Caenorhabditis elegans: one gene and its partners. The protein of the gene in region 1 interacts with the protein of each later gene in a biochemical or structural test. Each region holds a gene or a part of one and is shown in the gene's direction. Other genes may lie near its edges. The genes, in order: dmsr-7, flp-11, flp-25 and flp-32.

Region 1 (8,281 bases):
CTCATTTTCTCCATTTTCTTCTTCTCTCATTTGTCTGAAACTAAGATCGCCTGATAATCACAATAAATTTCCAACATCACAAGAATTGAATTAATCGCACGCTGAAGATGCCCCCATCGTGTTGCACCATAAAACAAAACAGAGAGGTTTGGTAGAATTGGTGAAACAGAGAGAATTGGAAGGAGGGAAGGAGTGGGGGCCAAGCACATTGGGACCAAGATAGAGAAGAGATAAAGATGAGAGAGAGAGAGAAAAGAGACGGGGGAGCCAGTTGGCTGTGCCAGTATGATGAAAATTAATTCGAAGATCCCGCAATGTTGTTGCGAATCGAATTGAATTTTTGTCGAATTTTCGAGACCCTCTGATAACGGATAGTACTTGGTTTTTTTTTCTGAATTTCTTTGCATTTTGTTTTCATTCATATTCAGAATTCCATTTCAAAAAGCAGGATATCTAGACTCCTAGGTATCAAACAATTAAATTGCCAAAAATTATGAATACCCCTAAATGCATTTTGCAGCAGAATTTTTACTTTTAACGCTAAAAAACCTGGAAAGTTTAGGTATTTTCGTGGCTGACGGAATACAAAGAAAAACAAAATATGCCAAGGTTAAACTTTTAAGTTTAATTTTCAAAATATAGTTAAGTTTGAACACTCCTGAAATTCCAGCAATCGTCAGTTTCGGCGATTTCGGAATATGAAGAATTCTAGTGACACATTTGAACAAATGTTTTTGAACACTAGAGAAATTATTGGCAGGGCTTGTCCAATTTGCTTACCTGCCTGCCCAATATAAGTTTCTTGGCATTTCACTGTAAAAGCGGTGTTTCATTGGGTTCAGGGTAGGCATAGGTCGCCTTGAAGGCAGGCATTTTACCTTTTTAATGTAAAATTTTTCGGAGAAACTTTCTCTTGATCTTTATAGCATGAGTGTGCTTTTGAAATTTTTTGAAATTTTTGCAATTTCAATTTCTTTCAATTTCCCGAAAAATCCAAGCTAAATCTAAAAGTTTGAAAAACAAGCAATCTGTGAAAAACACATCTGGAACTTTATTCAATAATCTTTCTTTTTCTTCACCCCAATTGTTTTTTGTTTCGTTCTAGGCCTGTTTGTATCTTTGTATGATAGCAAAAGTCAGAGCCACTGTAACTAAATAATGTGCTCAAACTGAAAAAAAACGGAGGCATTCCAAGCAGCCGCCTGAATCATTCTATCCGGGAGTCTGCACAGCCATCTGAAAGATTAGTCTAGAATTGAGCATTAGGAAACTTGTGGAGGAGCCAGAAGGAACCAAGAAAGGCTCCTCTTCATTGCCCAAAGTTTTGTTGTGATTTGTGCATCCCAATTCTCTCCTCTCACTATTCCTACCCCTCCTTCTAGTCCTTCTTTTTTTTTCCTCCTTTTTGCTCGTCACTTTGAAAATAATGCAGTCTCGTCACTGCTTTTCAAGCACTAGAAGCTGCTTGAACTGCAAATTGAATTTGAGGAGAAGCTTCGCCATTTTGTTTCGAGTAAAAAAGACAATGAACACGTTACGTGCGCAATCCACCATTGGTAGCGCCTCTCCTTCCTCCAGTTTTTGCCCCTTTTCAGCTTTTTTCCTGCATTTTTCTCATTTCTCCCCCAATTAGGCTCTCTGCATTTTAAGGTGTTAGAGAATTAGCTAGGTCACTCTTTTGATTTCTTGAAACAAAGATGAAATGTTCAGTGGTCAATAGTCAATAGGCACATCACTTCAATTCCCAAGGGACTTGAGCTTTCTTTCTTCCCCTTTTGACTGCGCCTGCGCCCCTAAACTTTTTTTTTCCACGTTTTCCTTATTCATAAGTCGTGAGAATATTCGATTTTCCGATTCATCTTCTCTGGAAGATGAATTCATTAACTTTGAATGCCACATTTCTGTCTCGAAATCCATTCTGTTTCAAATGTTTCGGTGTGTGTGAAGCAGCACCACACAACAAACATTTTCACAAGATGGCCCCCTGATTTTATATGTTTTATGGTGGCATGAAATACCAAAGTTTAAAACTTTTATACTTAACTAATAAGTTTCTGTTCTAGGTAGGACTAACATGGTAGGCAGGCGCATAAAATTTGAAAGCAATAAATTTGAATTTCGATTAATTTGATGAAAAGCAGGTGGACCTAACTTTGAAGTCCGGCAGGTAGGCAGTCGTTTGGCGCCTACCTAGAAGCCCTAGATCTAGGTTACATGTTCACAAGAAACAGAAAGTTGAGCGAAAGATTAAACATTCACGAACGAGTGTGCTTCACAATTATAATCATCGCAATTATAAAACTGCTGAAAAATATGCTTACTATGTTTTAAAAGACTAGTCTTGCCAAGATAAGTTGGCAGGCATGCCTACATGCCTACCAATTATTTTGTGCATTTTCAAGATCTGCTGAAATCGAAAAAAATTATTTTAAAATGTTTTAAACCCAAATAATAAATATTTTGATAAATATGGCTCTCTTTTACGGTTTCGAGTGTCATTTTTTTTTAAACATGCAAAATTTACAAAAGAATTTACGCGTTTTTTGCAATTTTTCGCTCACTTTGTTTTCGAAAACAAACAAATCTACCGCCCTGGCCGGCAAAAAAATAGGTTTTTTGGTTTTTTTTACTCTAGGAAATAGTTTTTAAAAAATAAAAATCTTCAATCAAAGATTTTTACAATTTTTCAAAGTATTTTCCTGCTATAGAAATAACAACTCACGGAACAAAAATAACTTCCGGCCAGTGACCTATAATTTTGTAAATTTTTTGAAAAACGAAATTATATATTTTGTTCGAAAACTCGATCAGCTTCTTCCACAACAACCGACTGTCATCTAAAAGTTCAAAAAACACAGAACGCATTCCACCCTGTTGCTCTTGGCTTCTTCTGATTTTCTCCTTATGTTTCTTTGTTTCAATGGTCTTTAAAAACCCCTTAAATTTTCAACATTTTGAAGGATGTGCTAGATATGGAATGTCCGCACGATGCTCAGTTGTTTGATCCGAACAGTAACAGTACGCAGGCATTTCTTCGGAAACTTGCACATTTTCAAAGGTTTGTTAAACTATTTTTTGTGCACTTCTTTCAAAAAAAGAAAAATGAACCAATGATTAATTGTCAGATGGTACCAGCCAATTCACGGATATGTATGTGTGCTCATCTGCGTTTTTGGTATCTTCACCAATTTTGTGCATGTGGCAGTTTTATCGAGACCCAACATGCGCAATTCGGCCGTCAACTGCATACTGACAGCAGTGGCTGTCTGTGATATCGGAACAATGGCATCCTATCTCATTTATATTATACATTTTGTCTTACGACGAAATAATTCCTGGTAATTCTTGTGTGTTTATTGGGTGGAAATGTTTTTGTTTTGGGAAATGGAGCGGCGTGGCGGCTTTTGAGTAGGAACATCAACAAATATGGAATTTTTGGAAAAATAACACAAGCTTTAAAATATTTATTTTCTGGTTTTTCCTATTCCAATTTTATGGTGAATTGCAAAACCCGGAAAATGTCGGTCACTTCATAAAAAGGATGTAGAGTTCGAAGGCGCTGATTGGTTTAAAAATAGTCATGGCTTCTCATTTTGGAAAAATTCAAATATGAAAATTCGCAATTTCAAAAATTGGACATTTTTAAATCTTTCTCGATTTTTTAAGTTTCCTTTTTTTTTGATTATGCAGCATATATTTGAATATTTCGAATACTTTGAAACAAAATCCTTATTTTCCAAACTCTACCTCAAACCATTAATAACAAGAATTCAAACTAAGTGTGCTCTTTCTATTGAAAATTTTGAAGGATATTTATATTCTTCTATTTTTCCACTCAAGTATCAACACACACACACAAAAAAACATCCTCAAAGTAATAATGGAATTTCAAAAGTTGAATGCCCATGTTCGTCACTTGCTGCACTTAATTGAAGAGGCATAGAATTTTAGTTGAACCTGGAACTATTTATTTCCTCCTATCCGTTTTATGTGCATCAAAACATGAAAACAACTGCATATTTTATTGATCATAGGAAATTTTGAAAATCGTCACAAAGCTACAAACTACGTGTATTCATAAATAACAAAAGTGAATTCAAGATGAAAAGTCGCTCGTAAAATGATACTGAAAAACACGAAAACAAGCGTTTGCAATGAAACTCAATAATTTTTATTATTAGATTTTATTACAGCACTCCAACGTTCACTCATTCTTGGTTACAATTCCTATTGTGGCATGTTGTTTTGAGCATCACACTACACACAACTTCTTTATGGCTCGCTGTGGCGATGGCGTTCATTCGGAGGATGACATTAAGGGTTACCGCTTTGAATAGGTATGCTGGGAGCAAAGTTTAAGGGACTAACATTTTTTTATACACTAAGATGAACAAGTTTTGTAATGAAAGTTTTCAAAATTTTTTTCAAACAATGGTAGGTATCCAAAAATATTTAAAATTGAAATTTTACAAAGACATTGCAAGCAATATACCCAGAAACGTTGGCCCCCTTAAAAAATCTGGAAATTTTCAGTCAATGGCAACGACCAAAGTTCGCATGGAAGTTGTGCCTGGGAATCTATATGGTCGTATTTGTACTTTGTATTCCAAATATGCTGGTCCACGAAATCGCCCGTGTAGAAGGAAATGACTGGCGACCTGGCAAAACGTGTCAAAAATTTGCATCGAACTACTCTGAACCGGTGTACACTTTTATGGTCAGCCACGCGGCGACTATCAACAATTGCCGGTTGTTTAAATGGAATATTTGGATGATTGGAATTCTGTTCAAGGTTAGCGAGTACGCGAGTTATCAAATTAAACGTCCTACCAGTTTTCAGATCATTCCATGTATTCTGCTAATTTTCTTGTCTTTCGGCCTTGTATCAAAGATTAGAGACGCAGAAAAGCATCGGAGGAAACTAACGAGTGTTCCGTCAAATGCATCAACAGATTCAAAACCATTGAAAAAGTATAGTCAACTCTCAAAGAACTTTTATGACAAAATGGAAATTTTCAGAAAGAATGGAACATCAGATAGAACCACATTGATGCTTGTTGTTATTTTATTGGTATTTTTAATAACGGAGTTTCCACAAGGAATCATCTCGATTCTTTGCGCAATTTTTACTACAGACGTTCATAGGTAAGATTTGATGTTTAACTAGAAATTTGGCCTGGAAAAACTGAAATCGAACTGCCCCAAGCTTGACCCAATTTTTCTTGAGTCATTTGAATTTTTGGAAATTTGGGTGCAGGCTGAGTCTTGCAAAAGTGTTGCTAAATTTTTGTTGGCCCAATTAAAGCTAAAATTGGGCGCTAAAGAAGTTTTCGAAAAATTAAATTTTCCATTTCAGATACCTCTATTTCTACATTGGTGATGTTCTTGATCTCCTATCGCTTGTCAATTCCTCTGTAAATTTTGTTTTATATTGTGTGATGTCTTCAAGATACCGGCAGACGTTTTGGGAAGTTATCATTCCTTCGTGGGCTTGTGGGTAAGTTCATTCTTATTGAACCAGTTCCTGTTACAGTAGTCTAAAATAAAATTTTTCCTCTCAGATTGTGGACGACCCGTCGTGGTTCTCCGACGGAACTTTCACAGCTTCAGTTGAACAACAGCTTACGACTAGGAAGGTCAGTTAATTTGTTTTTGAAGTCTGGAAAATATTATCTTTAATTTGCAGAAAACAAAGCTATACGCCACTGGCAACTGAACCGGAACCAGCACGCAATGAGTATTGGCGGTATGAAGCTTCCGTGTCGGACAATCAGAACAGCAGTAGAGAACATCAACTTTAAATTCCAATTTTTTCGATCTCGGTACAAATTCCCTTTGCAGATTTTTTGTGATATCTTGCTCATTTTCATAGCTTTCGCATTTTCTATTCTATTCTTGTTACGGGTACTTTTTGTTTTTTATTAATTCAGTTTTTATATAAATCAATATGGTTTACAAAATTATTAAATTATTCACGGCGCCGTGAAAAAAAAATTGTTTACAAAAAGACACGTAGATGTGAGTAAAACTAGGAAAAAAAATTATTTTCAATTGAAAGTGATTTCCGAAAGGTGAGTTCTCTTTTTCTCTTCCAGGAATCAAAAGTTAAAAAGGTTTGATGTTTTAGATTATGAAAGACGACGTCGTTGACAACATAATAATTGATGTCCTGAGCGCTAGTACTCACGAAAAGCTACTTTCCGAAGTGATCACGGAAGGACGAGTTCTAAAGCTTCTCGATTTGGCACTGGATGTATTTAAAAGACAGAAATCAATGGTTGAAATGAATGCTCCGATAAAGGTGTGCGGTGACATCCATGGACAATTCCCGGATCTTCTTCGTCTCTTCCATCGTGGTGGATGGCCGCCGACTGCGAATTATTTATTCCTTGGTGACTATGTGGACCGTGGAAGATTTAGCATTGAAACCATTGTTCTTCTTCTCGCTTATAAGGTTTGTTGCTTTAAGTTTTGCAAAAAGAAGCTAGGATCAAAAATTGTGACGCGCCAGAATTAATCATTGACACAAAGAATGCCAAAACAGGGGATTTTTGCAGAGACCGCTTAGATTTTCCAAAATAAGCGTACACATGTGATAAATAAATGTGTTTTCAAAAAGAAACATATTTATTGTCCATCACATATTGCTCTGCAAAAAAGTGCGCATCTCTCAAGTATCAAAGTGACAGAAAGTTGATGCTGCTCCGATGAGCTGTCAAATTTGAAAAATGACGTCAACTGGAGTGATGGATCTTTTGGACGTTTATTTCTCTCTCCCGATCTTCCAAATCCCATGGCGTGAACTTCTTTGAAACATTTTTCAAGTCATGATTCCAGGTGAAATTCCCGGGCAATTTATTCTTGTTGCGTGGAAACCATGAGTGCGAGTTTGTCAACAAGGTATATGGATTCTATGAAGAGTGTCAGAAACGCTATCAAAGTGTTCGCATGTTCACGGCTTTCCAGGTAAATTTGATTTTTTACCAAAATTGAACAATAAGGTGCAATATTAATACAGGAAAAACGGTACTTTCAGGACGTATTCAATTGGCTTCCACTCTGCGGACTCATTGCTAATAAGATCTTGTGCATGCACGGAGGACTATCGCCTAGTATGTCAAAGGATTTCACTTTGGACAACCTGAGAAAAATTAATAGGCCATGACGGCAAGGAGAGACTGGTAGCTGATCTTTTGTGGGCCGATCCTATTAGTGGTCTTTCTGGGTTTATGGTAACTTTCTGATAAGAAAAGATCGATTTCATCAACTTTATTCAGGAAAACAACCGAGGTGCCGGGTGTGGATTCGGAAGAGATGCTGTTCTGAAAGTGTGCTCCGATTTTAAGCTTGACCTGATCTGTCGTGCCCATCAAGTTGTTCAAGACGGTTATGAGTTCTTTGCTGGTCGGAAATTGGTGGTATGAGTAAAAAAAAAGTGCCGAGAGAAAGGAACATTAAAAATTTTTAGACAATCTTCTCGGCTCCTCATTACTGTGGTCAATTCGACAACTGTGCTGCCTTCATGTCTTGCGACGAGAAGCTTCAGGTAAAAATTTTTAATTGAAATGTTGTAATAAATGTGCATTCTTACAGTGCTCGTTCGAAATTCTCCGTCCAACGAGTGGCCGCCTTGAAGTTCGCGAGAAACCATTGCTCAAGGATGAAACAAACTGATGGATGGCTGATTCATAATTTCCTTCAATAAATGAATAGACAAATAAATGTGGTTTTGATATTATTTGTAAAATAATAATTTAATGTTTAAAAGTAATATTTGAAATTTGGCCAACAACCTGCCCAGCCAGCTTGACAAACAACGACACCTTTCCGGTAGAAATTTTCACCAACTTCCCGTCTTTTTTGAGAGAAATATTGCAGTGGAGATCTTAACAGTGGTGATCCCAACAGTTATCCCAAAACTAGAATACCACAACACTTTAAATTTTTAACTGATTTTTCAATCTTACCAGTCTATGTTTTGATCTTTTTATCCAAAAAATTGAATTTATTAATATTTTGAGAGACCTCAATTAGTTATATTGGCTTCAGATCCTACATTTTTCAATCATCGTGACTAGCTGAAATTTCTAATTCGGATAGTCCAGCCAAGGCAAGACGGGTGTCATATGTTAGACTTTTAATCATACAGTCACGCTTGTTATTATATCATCCCACGTGGCATCTAGTCAGTCACACTACTATTAGTCACTCTACTTACTCTTATAATTTTTTCAAAAAAGCCTACGAAAATCTTTAAAATCTGAACAATCTGAGTACATCC
Region 2 (6,012 bases), on another chromosome or scaffold:
TCATGTCCTCTGTAGCACTGTTTTCTCTTCTCTGCGGCCTCTTGAGTTTGGCTCGTTGAGTAGCGTTTTTGACAGGACCTGACAAATTCTCGCGAAATTGTCAAGAGAATTCATGATGTTTCTTATTTCTAGGCACAAGAGGCGACGTCATTACAGAGATGGTGGTTTTCGGGTCGACAACATACTTGCACAAATGGACTCTTTCGTCCGCCCTCGCTTCGGACGATCCGTGGGATATGCCGAGTGGCGGAATCATGGTCACACAGGAATTGACGTGACATAGCTTAAAGAATGACACAAAGAAAGATATCAATATTTGACTGAAGAGCGTCAAAGTTCAACAAATGTTTGTGAATATAAGTATAGAAAAGCAGTCCTCCCTTATCCCCCAATGACTTATTCCTCTTCTTTCGTTTCACAGCTTTATCAATCACTTTACAACTATCTTCTCCATTCCTTTCTCCCCCACCCACGCTTTCGGCTCTTTGACTTTACTATTTATAGTGACCTCATGGTCACAACAATTCTCTCATTTTTTTTCTCGAAAACTTTCACTTCAAAACTGTGCATTGTGTGTTCATTTGAATTTTCACCCCCATTTATTTATTCATCTTTTTACTTTTCTACATTTTCTTATTTCGATACTTTTCTTTGATCCCATTTTATCCTCATGCAGATGAAGTCTTTCACTTTGTTCTTTACTCATTGAGGGAAATAAAACAAATGTTTTCGGGATCTCCACGTCATTTCAAAAGACCTATCGGCCGATAAAACACACCAGATGATGTGAGTGGGCCTGGGTCGAGCTGCACATTTTGGAGAAACCCAAAAACCGTGTTTCATAAGTTTGAATACAATGACTTTGTTTTTTTGAAGGATTTTTGTGCAGCGTTGTTTTAAAAAACGGTTTTCATAAGATTTTTATCACAGTTGAACTCCTATATTTCTTCCCTCACTAATTCTTGATGTGTGGACAAAACTGTAAGTCTGATCAAGGCAACAACACAACATAGACCACTTTTCTAGTCCAGTAAAAAATCGAACTCTGATATTCAGACTGGTATCACTTCTTAGAGTCAGAAGATGGTACAGCTTGGGAAAAACTTGGAAAAACTATCCCAGACTGCCAAAACTGAAGCTTAAAGTGAGCACAAAATTGCTCCAAACTTTTTTTGCAGCTCACATTCGGTCCAAGTGTTGTTCAATTTATGATGATTATCAGTCTGTTTTGCCAAATTCGGATCCAACTTTTTTTTTTTTTTTAGGAGAATTTATTTTAAAGCTCGCCATTGAAATACATGTAAAAATCTAAGCTTTTAAATTTAACAGAAAATGAGATTATCTTTTTTGGAATGAAACCTAGAATTTTCAAAATAACTAGCATCTCAAAATAACTAGCATCCAAGATGCTCTTTGTTTTCATAAATTTTAGTTGTTTCCAGTCCCGAAAAAAAATTTCAATCATTTCCTTAGGTTCAATAAGTGTTTTGTCTGGTCTCTTGTTGCAATTTTTGAAAAAGGAATAACATTGTGCTCAGACTGAAAAATGAAAAAAGATGATGTAAGTTGGTCTAGGCTTTAATTCCAGTTTCCGTTCCACTAGTGATCTTATCATTTATTCATATCAAGTTTCATTTGATGTTCGATTCATTGTAGGTTTCATTGTTCCCTCTGACTATTCATCAAGTTCTATGAAACCATTGTGGCTTACTAGTTCCCCAAAGTTGGAAAGATCTGGAGAAAGAAAAACAAGTATCCCAAAAGCCCAAACCTTTTTTTTCCAAATGTTGAGCCTCTAAAGTTGATGAATGGGGTGAGAGAGGTTTTCATGGTTTTATGGCCCATCAGTTCCAGTAGAGTTCCTCATATCTTTTCGCACTTCATTTTTCAATCTGTTAAGAGTAATTCCCCCACAACTTTTAGCATCCTCAATCCTGGTTCCACCCACAAACACCCACACTCCATTGAATATAAGATTATAAAATATAAGTTAAAATACGAAAAGATGCAAAACTGTGACGACGAAACTTAACAACCTGCTGACGTGTCAAATATTTCCGCATCTTACCTTCGTGGGCATCTTCTAACTCATAAATTTATGATGTTCGAATCCCGGCGCCAAGTGATGTAAACTCATTTAATATTTGAGGAAAAAGCATAGACGAATCCATTTTGCATCTAATTTATTTTTCTAGTTTCACACCCATGTTTCGCTTGGCATAATCAGTGTTTGAGCGCACTTTTTGCAAGGTGCGTCTTCTTGTAAAGAAAGATTTTCAAAAAAGTGCAAAAGTGGGGGAGATTGAAAAACGATAAGAAGGTTTCATGTCAAACAAGGACACACGAATATATAAATACGGGTCATTTTTCAAACTTTCCATTGTGACTTTTTGGAATATTTTTTTCGTAAAAATGAAATCGATTTTCTGACCAATATCTCAACTTTAAAACTTCTAATTCTGCTTTTTTTCAATCTTCTGTAAACAGGAGTGCGTCGAAATTTCGGCAGTTTCGGCATATTGCCAAAAGTTTATAGTCCAACAATTGCCGGAACTGGTGATTTAGCTAAACAATAAACCTCAAAATATTAGGTATTTCAGTAAGAAAATGACCTATTGATTATGACTTTGAATCAAGTTTTGATATATTTTTAATTTTTGAAATATGATGAAAATTAAAAATTATCAAAAATTCTGGCAATTTTGGCACATCGGCACACAATGCGAAATTTGCGGCAACTGCCGATTTTTAAAAAACTTTATTTGTTTGGTATAACAGTTAGGCACGCATTTTGGAAATAAACCGATCTTTTATTGGGAGAAGTGCCAGTTAAAGTGCTGGACCAAGTAAAATGTTTCCAAAAAACCAGACACGTATTAATAAAACACTTCAAACTTTTTCAAATTTTACAACAATTTTCAATTAAAGTTTTGGCAAATTGGTAAATTTTCAAGAAATTTTTTTGCAAGTTTTAATTTTTAAATATACATTATAATTATTAGAATGTTTTCTGTATAGAAAATCTCTGCATCTGTTGGAAATGAATAAAAACTTCATAACAATTCTAAATTAAAAATTCAAGAACACTAGAACAAGCGTCCTCAAAATATTCACAAAATATTGTACACATTTTGTAGTACTTTTTCCATTATTAAAAAAAGCAAAACTAGCTTTTCCTTCCTTTCCGAAATTTAATGCTATTTTCAAGATGACTTTTTTGCTTGCGTTTTTCTCAGTTTCCTCACACACACACACACACAAGTAGGCGTGGCCTGTGGAACGTTTCAGAGCGCAGAACACCTGCATTTGATCTATTCACTTCTTGCTTTTGAAAAGCCCAAAGACACCCTACACTTCGGTTTCGTTTTGGAAACCATTGACATCATCCTATTTTCCATAAGAAGTTTCCTTGAGAAGAATCCATTTCGCAAATTTTTCATTAAAACGTTCAAAACTCATCAAACCATTTGTAAATAGTAATAAAGTATGTCCTGCGGCTATTTGCTTTCTCTTCGGAATCTACAACGCCCCCTCCTAATACATCGTTTCAGGTATAAAAAGACTGCGCCTAGCCGCTCGTCTCACTTTTTGCAGTTCATACTGAATAATGACTCAATTCTCTGCATTGGCACTTCTCCTTATTGTCTTCGTTGCCGCTTCTTTTGCTCAATCTTATGATGACGTCAGGTATAGTTTTTTCTTAAAACAATTTTTATCAATTACCCATATAAATCTATTGTAGTGCGGAGAAACGTGCCATGCGGAACGCCTTGGTTCGATTTGGAAGAGCTAGTGGTGGAATGAGAAATGCTCTCGTTAGATTCGGAAAGAGGTCTCCATTGGACGAGGAAGACTTTGCTCCAGAGAGCCCACTCCAGGGAAAACGGAACGGTGCCCCACAACCATTTGGTAAGTTGTCTTAAAATTTTTCTTCCGCTTTTTGCCTTTGCTTCATGTGTCGTTTATTTTGCTTTGCAGTTCGCTTTGGCCGATCCGGTCAACTCGACCACATGCACGACCTTTTGTCGACTCTTCAGAAGCTCAAGTTCGCCAACAACAAGTAATGACCGAGGACGACCGTCTTCTGCTCGAACAACTCCTGAGGCGAATTCATCATTAAAAATCATATGTTTTTCTCTCTCACACTCTCTTTTTTCATACTCTCTCTTGCTGTCTAGAATTTGATTGGTGTCGCTTAACCCCCCTTTCCCTCCGAAGGAAAGTTATCTCCCCAGATCTCTTTTGGTGTTTTTTATCAGCTAACAACACACATTTTCTGATATTTCTATGCTCTGTCTATGAACAATAAAGGCGTTGTTAATTACTCGCAAAATCACTTTGTTTATTTTTTTCACATTTTCAGATAGTGAACAAAAGAAAATTAAATTCTAAAATCTGAATCGGAAAATTCAAATTAAAAATTAAATTTATTTTTTTTATATTACACCTGTTTTTTTTCAAATATTAGATCAAAAACTATTCAACAAGTGGCATGTAAAGCATAGGATTAATCATTGCATATTTAGGATCGAATTCTGGAATTTTCGTGTAAACATCTCGAGAAACAAAGCCAAAATGATCGTAGAGACGTCGATTGAAAAGCGAGATCCTGCAATGAAAAAGTCAAGTTGTTACAGCTAGTTAGATCCTTACTTTCCACCAACAAGTCCAAAAAGAAAGTTGAGGTATCCTCTTCGAATTGCTCTAGGTTCAACAACAGCGTTCCATAAAACGTAACCCGTCGTGATTGCGTAAAGAATTACTTCTCCATTTTTGAATTTTGGCAAATAACCTCGATCAACTAGATCGAAATATACCGTCTGAAAAAATGTCATGAAGGGAGTTGGCGCTGATCACCTCGCTGTCGTCAGGATATCACCATGGAAGCCCGCCTTTCACATTTGGGATTCCACCCCGGTCGAGCAGCTCATCAAAATTCACATCTTCTTTGTTTCAGAGCTTTATTTTTAGAAGCTTACGCTGTTTGCAGCTAGGAAATTTAAACGAGGAGCAAAATATCATACCTCAATTGCTTTCCAGAGACAATACATAGCAATACTGACAGTGGGATAGAAGGCCATTGCAACTGATGCCAAACCAGCAGAAAATACATTATTGAGCACCGGAGGAACGTATTTAACCCGATTTAAAGAGCATCGAGTAGCCTAGAATTGTTTGAGAGTAAGTAAATTTATACTGAAAAAACTATTTACTAGATTCTAAAATTTAATAAATAAAGTTTAGTTGAAATTAAAGTCGCTAGTTTCTTAACCAGTCGCGAAAAGTTGCAAATTTTGCAAAAAAAAATGCGGCACCCGGGATTGACAGGAAACATTTTTATAAATGCAAAATTGTCCGACTTCAAAAATATTGCACCTCTAAATTCTGATAACTGCGGTATACTGACTTAATATACCGAAAAATAAAAAAAAATCGTACACTTCGCAAAGCAATTTAAACATAATTCAGCCACTTATGTTATCAAAAAAACTAGACAATTGTAACTTTTCCAGTTTTTCTAATAGTTGCACACTAGTCTGTTCCTGAAAAACGACTTCACAACAATTTGTATTGTAAGTTTAAAAATACCCTGTGAAAAATTATTCGAGACTACAATTTTTTACTTTTTTCTACTATCCAATAAACTTACATTGAAAATAAATGGTAAAAAGCCTGCAAAGAGTGGAAGTTTCAGATTTTCTTTAGATACCAGTAGTGTGATGAGATTCAATGGATTTTTGATAATTGTTCGTACATTTCTAATTACAGTAAGCACCGAGCTTGCTGTTAATCCAAATGTCATATTTTTAGCAAAACTCTGTAAAAGTTGCGGTATGTTTTTTTTTAACTGTGATGTTACTTCTACTGAGTGGCTAACGCAAGAATGTGGATGATTGCATAGTTCAGTTTTCTTATAATCACTTCTCAATTTTTCCAAAAACAATCTAAAATTGTCTGGAATTTTCTTCTCGTTTATCAAATTTTCCGATACATTTGACTTCAAAGCGACAC
Region 3 (9,054 bases), on another chromosome or scaffold:
TCCGTCACTTGTCGTCCACTTGAAAAAGTACACACTCAAATACTGGCTCGCAAAGGAGGGAGATCCCACCACACTAAATGACCCCTACCGGGCGAGCAAGGATTTGGTAAATTCTCTTGAATAGACTATGATTATGATGAAATCCGAAGGGACACTTTTGTGAAACATTGCGAAACTATTTATTCCAGAATCTTCCAGATGTGCTCCACAAAGTTCAACTTTTGCAGGAGCTCGTCACTTTGAGTCATGAGTGACTGAAATGCCATACTTCAAACAAAATCCACCTGGTTTTTCAATGTTTTGTCATACTGAAAATGAGTATTACAATCTGAAAATGTCAAATGCTGATTTCCTCAACCGTTTTATACAATTTATTATGCGAATGAGCAGAGATTAAGATATTTATAAATGTTTGTGATTTGATCTCAATGATTTGATCATCTAGGTTTTTGATTTTTTTAAATATCATTTATAAAAGTTTCCACGGCAGTGTGCGACTTATTTTTGCGAGTAAGCCTAAGACTAAGACTAAGCCCAAGCTTAAGCTAAGCCTAATCCTAAACATATTTTTAAACCGCTGAACGTCCAGATTTGGAGACTCGTCGTTCAACTTTTGTTTAAAATCTACTTCCCGGTCACATGTTGAACAGACTAATAAACAACCCATTTGAAACATTTTACAACTTCCTGTAACTTTGGACCCAATTATCTATATTTCACTTTGCCACTTTTTGCACTCTGATCCTCAACGTTTTTTTTTTCATTTGTTCGCGATCTTCTTATCAGAAACTTGATTATATGTTTGAGTTCTCCATAACAAATATTATTATATTAATAGACATTTGCCGGCCACTTTTATTTGCGTTTGATCTAAAAGTATCTCCACCAGTTTTTTCTAGCGGGAGTCTAGTCAAGGCACATAACACATGGCTTCTCTTCTTTTCTGTCTTTACCGTCTGTCCATACCCAAAAGCCGGAGAGTGATAAGCGACACGAACACAGTCATCTCTGAAGAGGTCACGAAAAGCTGCTGCAGTACCGCCGCGCTCCTGTGCTTATCAATTGCGCGGTTTCCCTCGCTTTTTGTCTTTGTTTCTCAGTTTCCTCTCTGATTTGTCTTTATCATTCGAGTTTGACAACTAGCGGAAAGTTTGCAAAGCGTCCCTAATGCTCTGAGTGGGCTTCTCCTGGAAAAAGGTTCGAAAGTTCTAAAAATGGAAGGTTCTTTTGCATGGGCGTGCAATGTGCTTTTATTACTGCATCAATTTCGGAAAAAAATTTGAAAATGTCAAAATTATTTTAAACTTATCAATTCTAAAATCAATTTCCAAATTTACAAATGTTTAGAAGGTGCTAAAACCCACAGTACAGAAGAAAACATCCTGATAATTCAATCAGACCAGCTGAAAAACGTGCACAGACGGAACGAATTCACAAACGGCTGGATCTAAATAGAAGTCTCATTTTCCAAATATTAATTTCTGCTAATTATTATTATTAATTTTTCGTGTTACACGGTATTGCCACGTAACTACGTGAAAATGCCCATTCGAGTATAAATGAGCGTTTCTCACTGTTTTAAATTTATTCCCGATTTTACTTTGCCATTTCGTTACAGCGGACAATTTCTGTTCAAGTGAGTTCTAATTTAGAGAATCGATGATTCATTCTCTTTTCAGTTCGAAGCAATGGGATACGTTGAAAGTTTTTATTTGGAGCCTGAAGCTACTCAAATGTTTGGGATGACTGAGAGTAACGATCTTCCACCGGTAGGCTAGGTAATTCAATGGATTGCCAAAAAGTCCTAATTTTTAGCTTGAAAATCTCCAAGAGCTCGCATCTGTGATTGATGTTAACATCAAAGAGCCACTTGTTTCGGATTACTGTGGTTTGGAGTCTGACGACATTCCACCAATCTACCGTGCTCAGCTTCGTGCAGCTCAGAAGGAGAAGATCATTGCAGCCGAACAAGCAGACAAATCTTTCTATGCTTACGAAAAGTCTGATGCTAATTTGGAGGGAGATAAGAAAGAAGTGGAAGCCATCGCACCGGTGGATTCAATGAACTTTGAGTACTACGTCCCGGGTTTCTCTCCGCCGCCACAGAATTTTAACGATGACGTTCAAAAAATGAGCAACTTCCAGCTTCCTAAAATGACATCGATTGAAGCTACTGAGAACGTTTTCAAAATTAATGGAGCACACGAAAAGTCTCAATACGTGTTGATGGAAAATGAGGACCCGAATAAAGTGAATAGCCCAAAAAAGACCGGACTGGAAAGCTGTATGTTTTTATAACTATGCAGAATACAAAAAGTTATCAATTACAGTGATTTCATACACTGCATCGGATGTTACTTCTACAATTGCCTCTGAATCCTCCTGCCTTACCGCTACGGTAAATTTTTTCAGTTCAAAAAATAAAGTTTTAAACTCGTTTTTTTCAGCTTGGTCCAGCTTTTGGCTGCCTTCCGATCACAAGCACGTATGATCGCCACTCCGAGAGCAAGTACAAAGGATTGAGTGCTTTCCGTCCAGTCACCAAATCAATTGAATCGCAATACGCAATGCCGGAGCTCAATTAGGTGTTTCCCAATGTGAAATGAATCTCAAAATCTGTCGATATGAAATGAAGAATTTTTGTATTTCTTTTCAGCCACTTTATCCGAGACCCACTCTCAAAAAGTTGAGAAGAAAGCGGATGTCAGAAGAACATTAGTAGTGTTTTCAAAAATCGTACTGTTTTTCATTAAAAATAGGTACTTTTTCAAGAAATGTTCAATTTTTCAAGATAAAATCGGATCTTCAAAGTTCTTTGGACATTTCTTAATGGTAACAATGGAAAATTGACTCCGAATATCTCTCCTTTTTGTTCACAGATAATTGGCAACTTGTCAATCAGGAATCTCGCAGCAATGGCATTGTAAACGGCCCGCCACCGACAACTTTAGGCACATCGTGCCCGGCCATCAATTGTGTTTTGGGTATATTGTGCTGATTGAGGCGTTCTACGCACATAGTAGTAGTAGTAGTGGTGCAAAAGCACCACGGTGGAACCGTGGAGGTCCTTGGATCATTGAGATCCGCCTGGATCGAAAATTCTGGTGGGGAGGCCCAGTGCCTCTGCCACCTTTTTCGGATCCGTCCACAGTTTAGACGGAGTGAGCGGGGGTTGGATAGAACATCTCAGCATGTGTTCCACATTCCCTGTGACATCGCCACACTTCTTGCAGGCTGGCACCGTGTCGTTGTTGACTCTCGCAAAATAGCTTGGGACCATGGTTGAGTGACCGCATCTGATTCTGGCTAGCTCCACTCTTGTTCCTAGCGGCAAGGATCGGATCTTCTACGCACATCGCGAAAAACCGTGGCTACACAGAATGAACCCAAAAATTCAAAGTCCATAAATTTTGCAGAAAATTTGTAGAATAACTTGACTTATTCGAGTACATCTTATTCATTTTTTAGCAGAACTCACGTAGCAATTTGTCAGTTCATGAAAAATATTCATAAGTTTCAACTCATAACAGCAGAAATGAGCACAAAGTTCGAGGAGAAATAGCTAAACAAATTAGGTCTTCCCCTTTACTTCTTCCCATTCATTTTTCTCTTTTTTCCTTTTTTTTTAATTTTCAAGTTTTCTACCCCCATTATTCAAGTTTAAACATCCTACAGAAAATGACGATTACTTGGTTGCATTTCTTCAATTTTCAGCTGTTTGTAGTGTCTTTTTGCTGTCAAAAGTTGTCGGAATAATGCAAAGAAAATATGAAATCATTGACATGTGTTATACAAATTCTGGAGGCGGTGAAGATTGAAGTTTCTGAAACTAAATGTGACATTTTGGAGTCAAAAATCTGCACCCAACTTGTGAAAACTTTTTCTAAAAATTGTGCTAACGCCCGCCAGACTCTCCAGAAAACGCCTATAAAACTGTAAGAAATTTAATTGAATGAAATTACAACACAAATTTAAAAGAAAATATGTAATAATTAATTTTTTGTTACTCTAACATTTTTCCTTTTCGTGAGCCCTTTTTGAAAAATAAAAGTTCAACTGTTTTGTTTTGGGATAAAACAAAAAGCAGCATGTGAAAACATATGTTTCGCGGTTTTGGATGAAAACATTTTGCAAAGAATTCGACATACTTTTCAAGTTTGAAAAATTTTCATTATGAATTCAACTTCCTCAATCTTAAATTTTTCTAATAACTAATGTCAACCAAATCAGACCAGAAAATAAATAGCTTTAGATTGTTTTTCAACGGCTACTCAAAAAATTAATTACAAAACAAATGTCTAGAATTTTTTGGTTAGTAATTTCTGAAAAGGAAACTATGTTCACACCCGATCTTGAAATGAGATATTTGAGCGACATTACCAAACTCCTAACACCTAAAATTTGGATTTTAAATTGTTTCAGTGCATTTTTAAAAATCATTTTGAGCCCAGTATTCTTTATCAGTGCAGTTTTGTAGAATTTTTATTTATAGAAGTGTTTTACGGTAGCCGAACATTCCGGAGTTTTTTTTATAATTTTTAAAGAAAAAATTCTGGAAATCTGTAAAAAAATAAGTTTTCAAATACTTGCCTAGTTTTCAAATACTTGCCCACATTACCGCCCACTCCCGTTATTCCCATCATTTTGGAATTTCTGGACCGCCCTCACAAATGATGCTGTTTAATCTACCTAATGTTAATCCTAGTGTACTTCCGTATCCGAACATACTTTGTTTGAAATCATGCAGGCAATTTGGAAGCCCTAGAAGTGTAAGCTTGCAAAATTTTATTTCAATTCCCAAAATTCCAAAACTTTATGAGCATTCGTAAATCATAGCTCATATCACATTCCTACCGTCATTTTCAGCGCAAAAAATCTTTAGAAACATTAAATATATTTTGATTTACAGTGCTTTTTTCCTTCATTTCCATATATATTTTTAGTTTTTCCTACCTTAGATCCTTCCAATTCCACGTCACCTCCGACATCTGAAAACTTCTTAGAGAGTGTATAGTCAGTGAGAGACGCTGGTTAACGAATTCAATCAAAAAAGGTAGGCGGAGTCCTGGAAGCTTGTGATATAAAATATAAGGAGCTCTAGCTGTTTGACCCAATTCACTTGACGTAGTAATCTATTGTTTTTCAGTTTTCACCACCGCCTATAATATAAATCCAATAAAATTTGAATTATCTACAGTAATCTCCTTACACGATTAGATTGATTTTCCTTTTATTCTATACTATTTTCATAGCTTATTTACTTATAGTTAGACATTTTTTCTGTGATAGTTGGTTTCATAAAGCTGTGAGCTAGGAAATTCTTCCGATCCTTATTAATCAATATAAATAACTTTCCTAATTCTTTAAAATCTTTAAATTTTCCAGTGGCCAAATGTCTCACAACTCGATGATCTATCTTCTGGTCGCATTCCTTGTGTTGCTCTGCGCCACCACCGAAGCAAAAAAGGAGTGCTCCATTGATTGTCAGGAAGATGGTTCGGCAGCCGTCGACTTGGGACTGGTGCTCCCTCCGGAGCTCTATGAGTCGACTCGTCTTTCCAATCTTCTTGCCAGACCTTCGTCACAGTTCAAAAGTGAGTGTATTTTGTTTCCATACGGGGGGAGACTTTTCTCCGTCCTTCTACTTTTTTGGTGAGAGACAATGGTTATTGAATTAGTGTTAGTATGGTAATTGCCTCTAAAAAATTGGTCAGTTCTAAGAGATAAGAACAATTTATCCAAAGAACCTTAAACTTTAGCACCCGTCTGGACATCTATTTTCTAAGTTTTTTTGAAGACTTATTAAGAAACTTATCAACAGTGAAATGAATGTCAACAATTGCACAATATTTTTTTAAAGTTGAACAAGTTTTAATAAAACCAATGGCAGGAGATAATGAGATGTTGAAGTGGTGTAGTATTTTGAAATTATTAATTTTCTCTTAAAAACTCAGCCAAAATATTGGAACTTTAAGATCCGTTGCCAGCTGTCATTTGAGAAAAATCTTTCCGTATTAGCTTGATGAATGAAACTTTTCTAAGGACTCAAAGATTGCATAGAGCTGGAAAATCTAATCACTTTGAATCGAAACTTAATTTAATAGAAATCTACGTAAAAATTGTTTTTGGTGAGCTAATGTAGTCGTTAAAACCAAAAAGGTTAAAATTCATAAAAGCCAAAAGTTGGAAAAACAAATTATCAAATAATTTCTCAAAACCCCTCAAATTTTTTGATCTAACATATTATTCCAAGCTGAATCCTATTTTCCCCCAATTTCCTTATTTTCGCGCAATGTCCAATCAAGATATGTCAATGTCCCAGGTAAATCAAATTAATATTCATTTACGAGTAATAACCCTAACAATTCTATTTTCAAGTCTATCAAACCAAAAAGTGTTTTCCAGTGAAACGAGATTATGATTTTGTTCGATTTGGAAGAGCTGCTCCAATCAAGAAGGCATCGTACGACTACATCCGTTTCGGTCGGAAATGATCTCAATTCATCCATATTCACGCGGCGCCTTCATAGACATTCCACTTTTCACCAAAAAACTAGAACAACATCTCATTTATTTTCATTATTTACTTCTTTAATTCCATCTGAATAATAATTGTCATTTATGTGATACACCACGATATATTTATGAATCATGTTGTGTGCTGATTGCTTCCAATAATAAACCGGCCTTGACACGTTAACCTTGCAATTTTTAGTTTTATTTGTTTTTGCAAAACGTTGTTGATTGTATTTCCTGGATGAACATAATTTTTTATGGCAAAAAGTGCTTGAAAGCTTTGCTTTTTGCATCAACTTCTTGCTCAAGATCGAAAACGTTGGGCAAGACTTTCCTCTTATTTTTTCAGAAATATTTCAAAAAAATCACAAAAATGATATGTTTTGGCATGAAATACCAAAAGTGTACCGCTTATGCAGAATCTTTGGAAGCTCACCGCAAGCTCAGCTCGGAAATTTTGCAGCTTAAAATTCACAATTAAAAGCTTTCAAATTACAAATATCTCGTTTAAATTTCAAACTTCCTGTGGAACCCTCAGAACCTTCTAGTTCGGCAACGCCCAGGTTTCATCAAAGTTTTGTTATACTCAAGTTACTCAAGTTTCATTTTTCATTAATTAAAAATTATTTAAAAAATTAATGACCTTTACGACATTGACTAAGAATATCTGAGTTTTGTTCCCAATGCTACTGAATTCTATTGACTACTGTAGGTGAGAGAAATGAGAAGGAGAAGCAGGTGGAATTGAACAAAGTCATGACGAAGAGATTTTCAGCTGTTCCACTTTTCAGAAAATCGATCGAAGGCGGTTTTGGATGTTTGGATGAAATAATGTTTGATATAATAGGAAAGGGAAGTACAATGTGGGATTGAACGGGAAATATAAATGATCAGTTGCAATAGAATTAAATTTTTTAGACAATGTCAAAATATTGAAACAACTTTTCATAAAATGAATCTGCAAAACTGCTTGATTGCACTGAATTTCAGTTTAAAAAAATTTCAAGTCTCTTCAGATATGCAACACTTTTTTTTACTGTGAAATATGTTTTGTTTTGAGCTTTACAACTCACTATCAAGTCGCTGCACAAAATACTAATGGAATTTTTAAACTGAAACTTGATTTTTTTTGGCAATTTTTAAGATTAATATAAAGCCTTTTTGAACTCATTGTCTCTATTTCAAAGATTGATTAATAAAAATGCCTTTTTTTTGGAGTCAAACCGACTTTTAGTAGTCTTGAATTTTTCAAACGAGATCAGAAAGTGATTCATTTGTAGTTAACATGTCTTCTTCGCAGCAAACATCATTCTTGTATGCTCTTCGGAGCACAGTTTGATGACGACATCAGTCACGATGTCCGAGAAATGATAAGGAATATATGGGAATTATAGAAGGTGTTACTAGACAAGAAAAAGATAAGATCATCTAACCAAACAGCGGTTACAATAAAAGGTTATTTATTGAATGGGTGTCTGTTCAGCTGCCACGTCAGCAGTATTGATTGAGTTGGTACTGGTCATCTGTCATTTATCTAATATTTCAATTTTTTAAGTTTGTCGTACTGAATTTTCGAGTGTTCAGGGAGCCTCATTATTTAACTGTAACTTTAATTTTTTATTGTGATTTGTTTAAGAAACTGTGCTTGAAATATAATTCAAGAAAATAATTGTGTCTGGTATTTTCATTTATGAGGAATATATCGGAACTTTGAGCACTGGCAATGTTCATAAAACATTTTATTGAAATTTATTTTCTTTTTCATTCTCGGCGACGACTGAGACCATTTATCATTTTCAAAAGAACAGGAAAAGGCTTTGTCTATCTTAAAATCTAGTTTATCAGCACGTGACTCTCAACTCACAGCCTCTTCTCTGAAAATAGAAAAGTACAACTTCTCCTCTCGCTGAAAAGTGGCTAAAATAAGTGACAGAACTAAAAATTTCATCTTTGGTACCAAAACATTTAATCGTCTTATGTCCTGAGTTTTTAACACCTATATAAAAAATTATCGTTCTCAATACTCTGCATTTCTTTCGTTTTTTCTTCTTCTTTTTCTGAAATATTATTGCAGATGATTCGTCAAATTATCTTGATAGTTTCACTTATTGGGATATCAAATGCCGCGTACCAATGCAAGGATAATAATGGAAGTAATGTAGATTGGTGAGTTACAAGGGAATATATGAGTTTTGGGCTGAGTTTGGCAACTTTTGTAGAGAAAAAAAAAGTTACAGTATTTTCACTAGTGGTATTGCATGTAAAACGCTTGATCGACTTGTAGGGTGTCAAGAGGCTCCAGGACTAATTTTTGAATGCTTCATATTGTTTTGGAAAAGTAATCAATATTTAAAAAAAAACGCAATTTTATACCGTTTAATTAGGGGTTAATATACCAGACATCCACTTTCACAGTCTGACGTAAAGTCGGTGCAATACAATTAGGGGGCTGCATGATAAAATTTCAGCCAGCCGCTTCCAAAAGTTCTGGAATTCAATTCAAACATTTTTCTTTTCTTGTCATCAAATATTCTTGCA
Region 4 (6,771 bases), on another chromosome or scaffold:
TTGTTTGAAACTTTTTTCAATACACTGTTCACATTCGATGCTTTTGAAAAATGCTCCATTAGACCACAATATACCATATATATCAAACAAAAAGTACTAGCCGAAAAAAATAGTGACGGCTGCGGACAGAAATACTATCTTGCAGGATTTTTTTGTACGGTGAGCTTAAATATTTGTACGGATTTGAAGGCACATTTGAATTAAACTTAAATTATCAAATTTATTCAAAATTAAAAAAGCTTCAATGCCAATAATTTAGCAAAAGTACTCCGCGAATACAAATTCCTGCGCAAGTCTTGTCAAAAAAATTGTCGACGTTGTTTTTTCACATTTTACATCGTGTTTCACACAATGATTTCTGCATTTTTTTTATATGTCATTTTGAGGTTATTTGATAAATATTAAACCAAAAATACCAAAAACGACACTCCGTCTAAATTTTTTTCAAGTATGGTTTTTTGAAAACTCACCCTTTTTCCATATCCTCAGCATTTTTGGTTACCCCGTCTACCATCTGTTCGATTTCTCGCAGAAGCTAAAAAAGGGCTTACAATTATTTTATTTAAACTTAAATTTGAAATATCTTACCTTATCCGTATTGTCTATAACTTGTTCCACATGACTAAACTGTTTTGCACTTGTGAGAAGGGTCTGGAAAATAAATAAAAATGATCGCAGTTGTTAAACACTAAAATGTTTTGAAAATCACTTACCTCCGACGCTTGAGAGCTGCTCATCGGAATCGAAAGCAAAGCTGAACCATCTGTGATGATTTCTAGAATTTTTTGAGGCAGTTTTGTTTTACTCTCCAGAGAAATGCTCATTTTGAGTTTGAATTTGTAGAGGCCTGCAGGAATCGATAATGTGCGAAGGGGGACATAGTGGTGAGGGGAGGGTGAGAGAGTGTGGAGGAGTAGAGAAAAAGAGAAGTGTAACGATGGTGCATCTTTAGACCAAAATCATAAAAGGCAAGTAACGATATTAAAATATATGATCCCGTTTGTCTACTATTGCATTTTGTATCTTGGTTCTCTCTGATTTTATCGAAAAATTGTTAATTAACAAAATATGTGCAAAATATTTTCTTTTACATTTTGATGTTGGAACATTTTTTGGAAAATTTTAGACGACCGAGATATAACCTGCTAAAGTAGAAAAATGGAGGTACAAGTTGTATAGGAAAATTACGGTTATGGAAATATAACTAGAAATTTTTATTCTCATTTAAAATTCAAAGAGCTTACATATAAACAAAGTAACATGAAAAAGCAAAGAACATGGCAAAACAATCATGAGAATGAGGTTTTAATGCTTGCAAGGAGAACCCGTAAATATACATTCTACCCTATATATTTTCCCATAGTTACATTCTCACAAATAGCGGGTTTCCCAACAAGATACCGAATTTTTCTAATTAGTAGTAGTGCATGCAATAGTATATTTCAATTGATATTTTTGACCCTAATAACAGATTTTTTTGTCGGTTTTCTAATTTAAAAATCGTAATAATAAAACATATTCCCCCCCCCCCCCCCCAATATATAAGAACTATCGTTCCAAAATGAACTACTCCCATAAGCTGTTCTCATGGTGGTTTTTTTTAATCAAGAAGATTAACGCAAAAATATAGTCTTCTTCCAAATGATTGTCAAAACATTTAAGGCTCGATCAAACGTCTTATACCAATAAATATTCATATAAAATTATTCCTAAATGAATAAACCCCTATGATTTTGGTAAAACCGCAAATTGAAAATTCTCATTACTTTTTGAACCTACCCAGAACTTGGAAAAATCACTGAGATGATTCATGTTTTTGTTTGCTTTTATCAAATATGTATAGAAATCCTCTAACCTTGGTTATGTGCTCTTGAGAGAATCTAGGATTTTTTTGCCTGCAAGCTTCTGGTTTTTGGAACACAAATGATATTCTTTTTTGCGAAAAGTTCACTGTTTGTCAGGCGTTCTTCACTTACTTAATTTATTTTTTCAAATAATTTCATAATTTAATAAATGTTGGAATGGAATGCGAGTATTTCTCAATTTTGTTGTGCTTTTTTGTTCCTGATCATAAAATTCTACGGAAATAAAATTGGAACGGTTGTTGTTTTCTTCCAATTTTTGAGCGCTTGAAAGAACACAAACTATAAGTCCGAGGCGCATCACAGAGTTCAAGTTTTTAAAAAGATTTTGCATTTCAGTTTTAGACCAATTTTGCTGGTTTCCAAAATTGAATAATTAGACTTATCCAATCTGTAGTAAAATTGCATTTACGGAAAATATTACAATGCAAGGCCGTAAGTATATTTTAAAAATTGAGTACGCCTGTGGGACTTTTTCAAACATTTAGTAATTATTTATTTTTTTGACTTGCTCACAGTAACTCATGGAGGCCAAAACCGGTTGAAAAAATTTATCCATCGTAAGGATGTTCGACAAATTTCAGCAGTTTAGATCAGCAAACAAGAATGTTTGAATGAAAGTTTGTTGGACGTGCCAAGCAATGCTTAGACCTAGGTAACTTTCGTGACCATTTTTGAAGATCACCTATTTTATTTTATTCACTATAATTTCCTTTTCACATACTACTTCGAAATTCAAAGCATTATTTTTCGTGTGGACTCTGAACCGATCGAGAACATTACAGAAGCTTATAACACTTAAGTGCTCTTAAAATAATGTTGTTTACCTTGCAGAAAATTCATCGAATACCTCCCAACAAGTATACACCTGAAATGTGCTCCACAATTGTCTTGTTGCACACAAAGTTCCCCCGTTTCCAACTATCGGCAATTCGTTGTTCCTACCTCGTCATTTTGTCTTTAAATTATCGGAACAATGGAACAAAAGAATAAGTGAGAAGTGAAAAAGAGAAAGATTCGTCTTTTTTTTGCGCTGACACTGTTGAAAATGTATGAGTGGGGTGTGAGTTGGCGGCGTCGACGAACATTGCCAAGACAAAGAAACGTTGGTCTGTGTGGTTCTTTGGTAAAACATTAACTTTTTGGTTAGTAGATAGGGTTAGGTACTCAACCACACACCAAGAATGAGGAGTTTCTCCTTTGTTCACGTTCAGATTTTTGATCGGCTTCGGCTTCTTCGTCCCGCGCCGCAATTAGTAATATTCTGTTCTCGACAGCTTATCCCATCTAAAACCCGGAAAAAGTCGGGCTCATCCTCCGAGCCGGAGACTCCGACATCACTTTTTGGAAAGAAATTACGTGTTCAAATTCAGGTTTTCGAAATGTAATGCGATTGCTGCTTCATTTGTTATTCGATTATATCGTTCCGTTCTCTGGCTCAATTATGGAAGTGTCATTTTGGTAAGTAACCCTCCCAGTACTAAACACACACTGTCATCCCTACGAAAGCACGACAAAAACAGTGCGGATGACACATGTGCCAGTGGCAGCTAAAGTGGGAGGGGTCTTCGGGTTGGGCAATGGGAATCTGAAAGCAGCTCGCCGAGTGAGTGCCACGCCCCACGAAGCCTTCATTCTTACGACATGCTCTCCTTTGTGCAAACCCTTATCCTCGCTCTCCTCTGCTCCATCGTCTTCGTGGAAGCCATGCCAAGGTGAGTGGAAGTGATAGGCATTAAGCAAGGAAACTTTTTTTTCGAAATAAATTATTATAAATAGGATTGCTAGCGTGGGCACGATGTCGTTTTAATTATGATTCTTTTTGCATCAAGCAAAATCCGCGTCATGGCTATTTAGCATAACCGAACACCTATGTACCACTATATTTCCCAAGCTTTCTTAGCTACAGCAAAGTTTGAAAAATTTCAAAATTTTGAATTTTCCAGTAGTCACTTAACTACCCAGGGAGTTCAATGCCGATTTGCAAAAGACAAAAGCGTTGAGAAGTTTGAATGATTACTGACATTACAACTCACAACTTTTAGCTTTTGTGTTTCTTTGAATACTTGTTTGATATAATGTTTTGTTAAGAAATCTTGAAAGAAAAAAAAAATTAAAAATCTATGTGAAGATAAAACCGGCAATAAATCAAGGTCTCTGGCATCTATAGTTTATGAGCAACGTGCGTACTTGAGGAGAGCAAAACTAGAATCAAATCAACCTGATTGACTCGAAAAAGGAATATATTTATAGCCTATAAACAAGAACGTGTAGATTTAATAGTAGTAGTCATTTATAAAATGGTCTCTGGAGAACTTAAAGAAAAAATAAATACGTCCCCAGTGGGGGGGTACAAAGAGTTTCTTTTTCAGCATGAGACCGGCGAAAAAGGCGATGCGCAACTCGTTGGTGCGGTTTGGGAAACGAGCCGATCCAGTTGGCACCGACGATGTTTTTCTAGGTAAGTTTTGAGCATTTATCAACACTACTGCTCGCCGATCAAGTCAGCGACGTCAAAAAATTTAAAATTCAATTTCACTTATTGAGTAAACATTTTATTTCAGGAGAGTCATACGGATCTGCTGACCCGTATGAATATGTTCCGGAGCGCATGTCAAACCGGGGGCCATCATCAGTCCTGCTCTACTGAAAGCCAATGCTTTAGGGAGGGAATATTTTCGTCTAGTGATCAACTCCAAAAAGCTAACCACACCAACCGTCGTCCTCAATCGTCTTCTCTCATTTTCAAGCATTTGTGTGTGTGTTTTTTTTTTCAATTTCTTCATTCAAGATATTGTTAATAAAAGTATTCATGTGAAGTTGTATCTAATTAATGTTTGTCAAAACTTTTATAGTTCTAATTAATAAAAAAAGTCAAAATTTTCCAAGCGGCCGACAATTTCCGAGTTTAACCACTCATTAGAAAATTCTATGATTAGGTATAGTGAGTAACCAAACTCGGAAATTGTCGGCCGCCGTTAAAAACCTACCCCTCGGAAAATTTTCAAAGTTCTAAAATCCGGACGAGCGGACGCCCAATATTCCAGCCCTATTTTTGAACAAAAGCCTGGTCGGACTCGAACTAAAGATACACCACTACCACCTGAACCCTCATTTTTGGAAACAATTGTTCGTCAATGTTTTCGGATTTATTTCAAGTTGATTTTATCTATCTTCTTCAAGTTTCAGAAAATACTCTGAATTTGCTAGTTTCCAGTTATTTAGTCTAGTTAACGTTGTCATTTCAATTTTTATTTTGTTTTGTCGTTTACTCTGATTTCTTTGGAATAGTTTTTCCTGTTTTTTTTTTCTATTAACCTACACACATTTTTTTGTGATATTCCCTATTGTGCTCCTTTCTGCCAATTTTTAGTTATTTGGTTGTAAAATGTAAAATCATACATCAATTTAATATGAAAATGACGTCACTATGTTCATAGTTAGTTCCGACTTATGGCACTACGTAAAAGACAAAACATCGAATTTGAATGCTCAAGTTTGTAAGTAATTTGATTGGAAACATTTATTTACTAATCAGTGGAAAAGTTAACAGACATCCCAGACTCCAAATATTGTCCACTCTCAAAATTAGTTTGTCGAATGTAGATTCCAAATGTCATCTGAAACTTTTTCTGTTTATCCAAAATTCGCAATCTCTACAGAGTTCTGTTGTTCGACTAGATGATCTTCTTTATACTATGGTACTAGGCTCTTGTGACTTTGACCCTATCATAATTTGATCTACGCGTTGTCTCAAACCTTCTGCTTATTTCTATAATCCCGTAATGCAAGCAGCAAACTGGGATCCTTCTCGCCTGTCATCGGATCCACACATATCATTTCACATCGAGTGCATTTGTCGACAACCTAAACCGGAACAAACATAATTAGCCTGTGAGAATATATATTTTCCATGAAAAAAACTCAACCTCAAACTCAAGATTCTCAATAGACAGCCGTTTTGCGGTGTCCTCAATAAAAGGCGGAAGACCTCGCACCACTATGTTGGACCGGAATCGGGTCAGAATTTCCCGCACTTCCATGTCTGAAATGATGAATCATTCATATCAAGTGATTGTAGAGGAAGTGAAGAATAATATATGGAAATTTGTCATTGAAAGTTTGCAAATGTTATGAAGGTCACCAGTTATGAACTCAAATGTTTAACGGAAACGGGAAATTAGAATGTTTTAAAGGTGGAGTGAAGTCAAAAATTTTTTTTGCTGTAAATGACAGAAAATAGACCTTAATGACCGAATATTACTGTTAAAAAATCAAAAAAAAAGTTTCTAAATTTTTAATGATTTTTTAAATTTTTCAAAAATCGAAGAAACGGCCTAATTAATTTTGAATTCCCGCGCAAATGAGTAACGTCATTTTTGATATTTTTGCGTTTCTTGGCTAAATTCTTCTGTTTTTTTTCTGCTTTGTTCTTTTGTATTTGATTTAAAACTATGTTTGTCAGTTTTTCAAACACGAAAAAAATTATAAATAACCATTAAATGGTCGATTTTTAGGCCAACTTTGAAATTTCTTTCACGCCATTTTCTTTCAGAGTTGAATTTACGGAAAAGTGCATGAAAAAATGACAAACAAAGTTGTAAATCGAATATGGAAAAAAATTAAGAAAAACTGGTAAATTCAGCCAGAAAATGCAAAAATATCGAAAATGACGTCACTCATTTGCATGGGAATTCAAATTTAATTCGGCAGTTTTTTTTTTCAATTTTTGAAAAATTGAAAAAATCATAAAACATAAAATTAAAAAAAAAAATTCACTGTTTAATTCGGTCAACAGGGTCTATTTTCCGTCATTTAAAGCAAAAAAAATTGACTCTACTCTACCATTAATTCATATTATAAGTAGTATGCGTAGAAACATAGAATACATTAAAACTTTCAAGTAAAA

What was found.
Region 2: the proteins of dmsr-7 (region 1) and flp-11 interact in a test that uses a peptide from one of them, tested with the Caenorhabditis elegans proteins (one large-scale study listed by BioGRID).
Region 3: the proteins of dmsr-7 (region 1) and flp-25 interact in a test that uses a peptide from one of them, tested with the Caenorhabditis elegans proteins (one large-scale study listed by BioGRID).
Region 4: the proteins of dmsr-7 (region 1) and flp-32 interact in a test that uses a peptide from one of them, tested with the Caenorhabditis elegans proteins (one large-scale study listed by BioGRID).

What each region holds. Positions count from the first base shown.
Region 1 is NC_003283.11:5,402,398-5,410,678, forward strand, and holds dmsr-7 (G-protein coupled receptors family 1 profile domain-containing protein), read left to right. Parts: upstream 1-2,955; 5' UTR 2,956-2,972; coding exon 2,973-3,058; intron 3,059-3,125; coding exon 3,126-3,338; intron 3,339-4,193; coding exon 4,194-4,337; intron 4,338-4,533; coding exon 4,534-4,792; intron 4,793-4,840; coding exon 4,841-4,971; intron 4,972-5,019; coding exon 5,020-5,145; intron 5,146-5,356; coding exon 5,357-5,497; intron 5,498-5,561; coding exon 5,562-5,636; intron 5,637-5,686; coding exon 5,687-5,801; 3' UTR 5,802-5,989; downstream 5,990-8,281. Other genes in the region: C25A6.1 (Serine/threonine-protein phosphatase), read left to right, coding at 6,131-6,454, 6,838-6,966, 7,037-7,112, 7,159-7,232, 7,278-7,418, 7,469-7,546, 7,594-7,674.
Region 2 is NC_003284.9:4,675,662-4,681,673, reverse strand, and holds flp-11 (SPLDEEDFAPESPLQ-amide), read left to right. Parts: upstream 1-3,551; 5' UTR 3,552-3,607; coding exon 3,608-3,687; intron 3,688-3,742; coding exon 3,743-3,909; coding exon of another isoform or gene 3,910-3,923; exon of another isoform or gene 3,924-3,978; coding exon 3,979-4,064; coding exon of another isoform or gene 4,065-4,120; 3' UTR 4,121-4,340; downstream 4,341-6,012. Other genes in the region: K02G10.15 (Neuropeptide-Like Protein), read left to right, coding at 133-283; tmem-135 (Transmembrane protein 135 homolog), read right to left, coding at 4,477-4,609, 4,654-4,820, 5,025-5,165, 5,651-5,818, 5,861-6,011. UniProt on the Caenorhabditis elegans protein: FMRFamides and FMRFamide-like peptides are neuropeptides. Induces sleep-like quiescence behavior following release from RIS interneuron. Helps to sustain locomotion stop after gamma-aminobutyric acid (GABA) induces fast slowing response.
Region 3 is NC_003281.10:9,358,683-9,367,736, forward strand, and holds flp-25 (FMRF-Like Peptide), read left to right. Parts: upstream 1-2,845; 5' UTR 2,846-2,984; intron 2,985-5,385; 5' UTR 5,386-5,392; coding exon 5,393-5,594; intron 5,595-6,405; coding exon 6,406-6,494; 3' UTR 6,495-6,698; downstream 6,699-9,054. Other genes in the region: K04H4.5 (uncharacterized protein), read left to right, coding at 1,689-1,769, 1,816-2,284, 2,331-2,398, 2,448-2,585; crn-6 (Cell death-related nuclease 6), read left to right, coding at 8,591-8,682.
Region 4 is NC_003284.9:15,430,292-15,437,062, forward strand, and holds flp-32 (FMRF-Like Peptide), read left to right. Parts: upstream 1-3,495; 5' UTR 3,496-3,506; coding exon 3,507-3,577; intron 3,578-3,733; exon of another isoform or gene 3,734-3,930; intron 3,931-4,234; coding exon 4,235-4,323; intron 4,324-4,426; coding exon 4,427-4,512; 3' UTR 4,513-4,681; downstream 4,682-6,771. Other genes in the region: blos-8 (BLOC-1-related complex subunit 7), read right to left, coding at 471-535, 589-651, 714-824; mocs-1 (Molybdenum cofactor sulfurase), read right to left, coding at 5,393-5,482, 5,622-5,729, 5,792-5,907.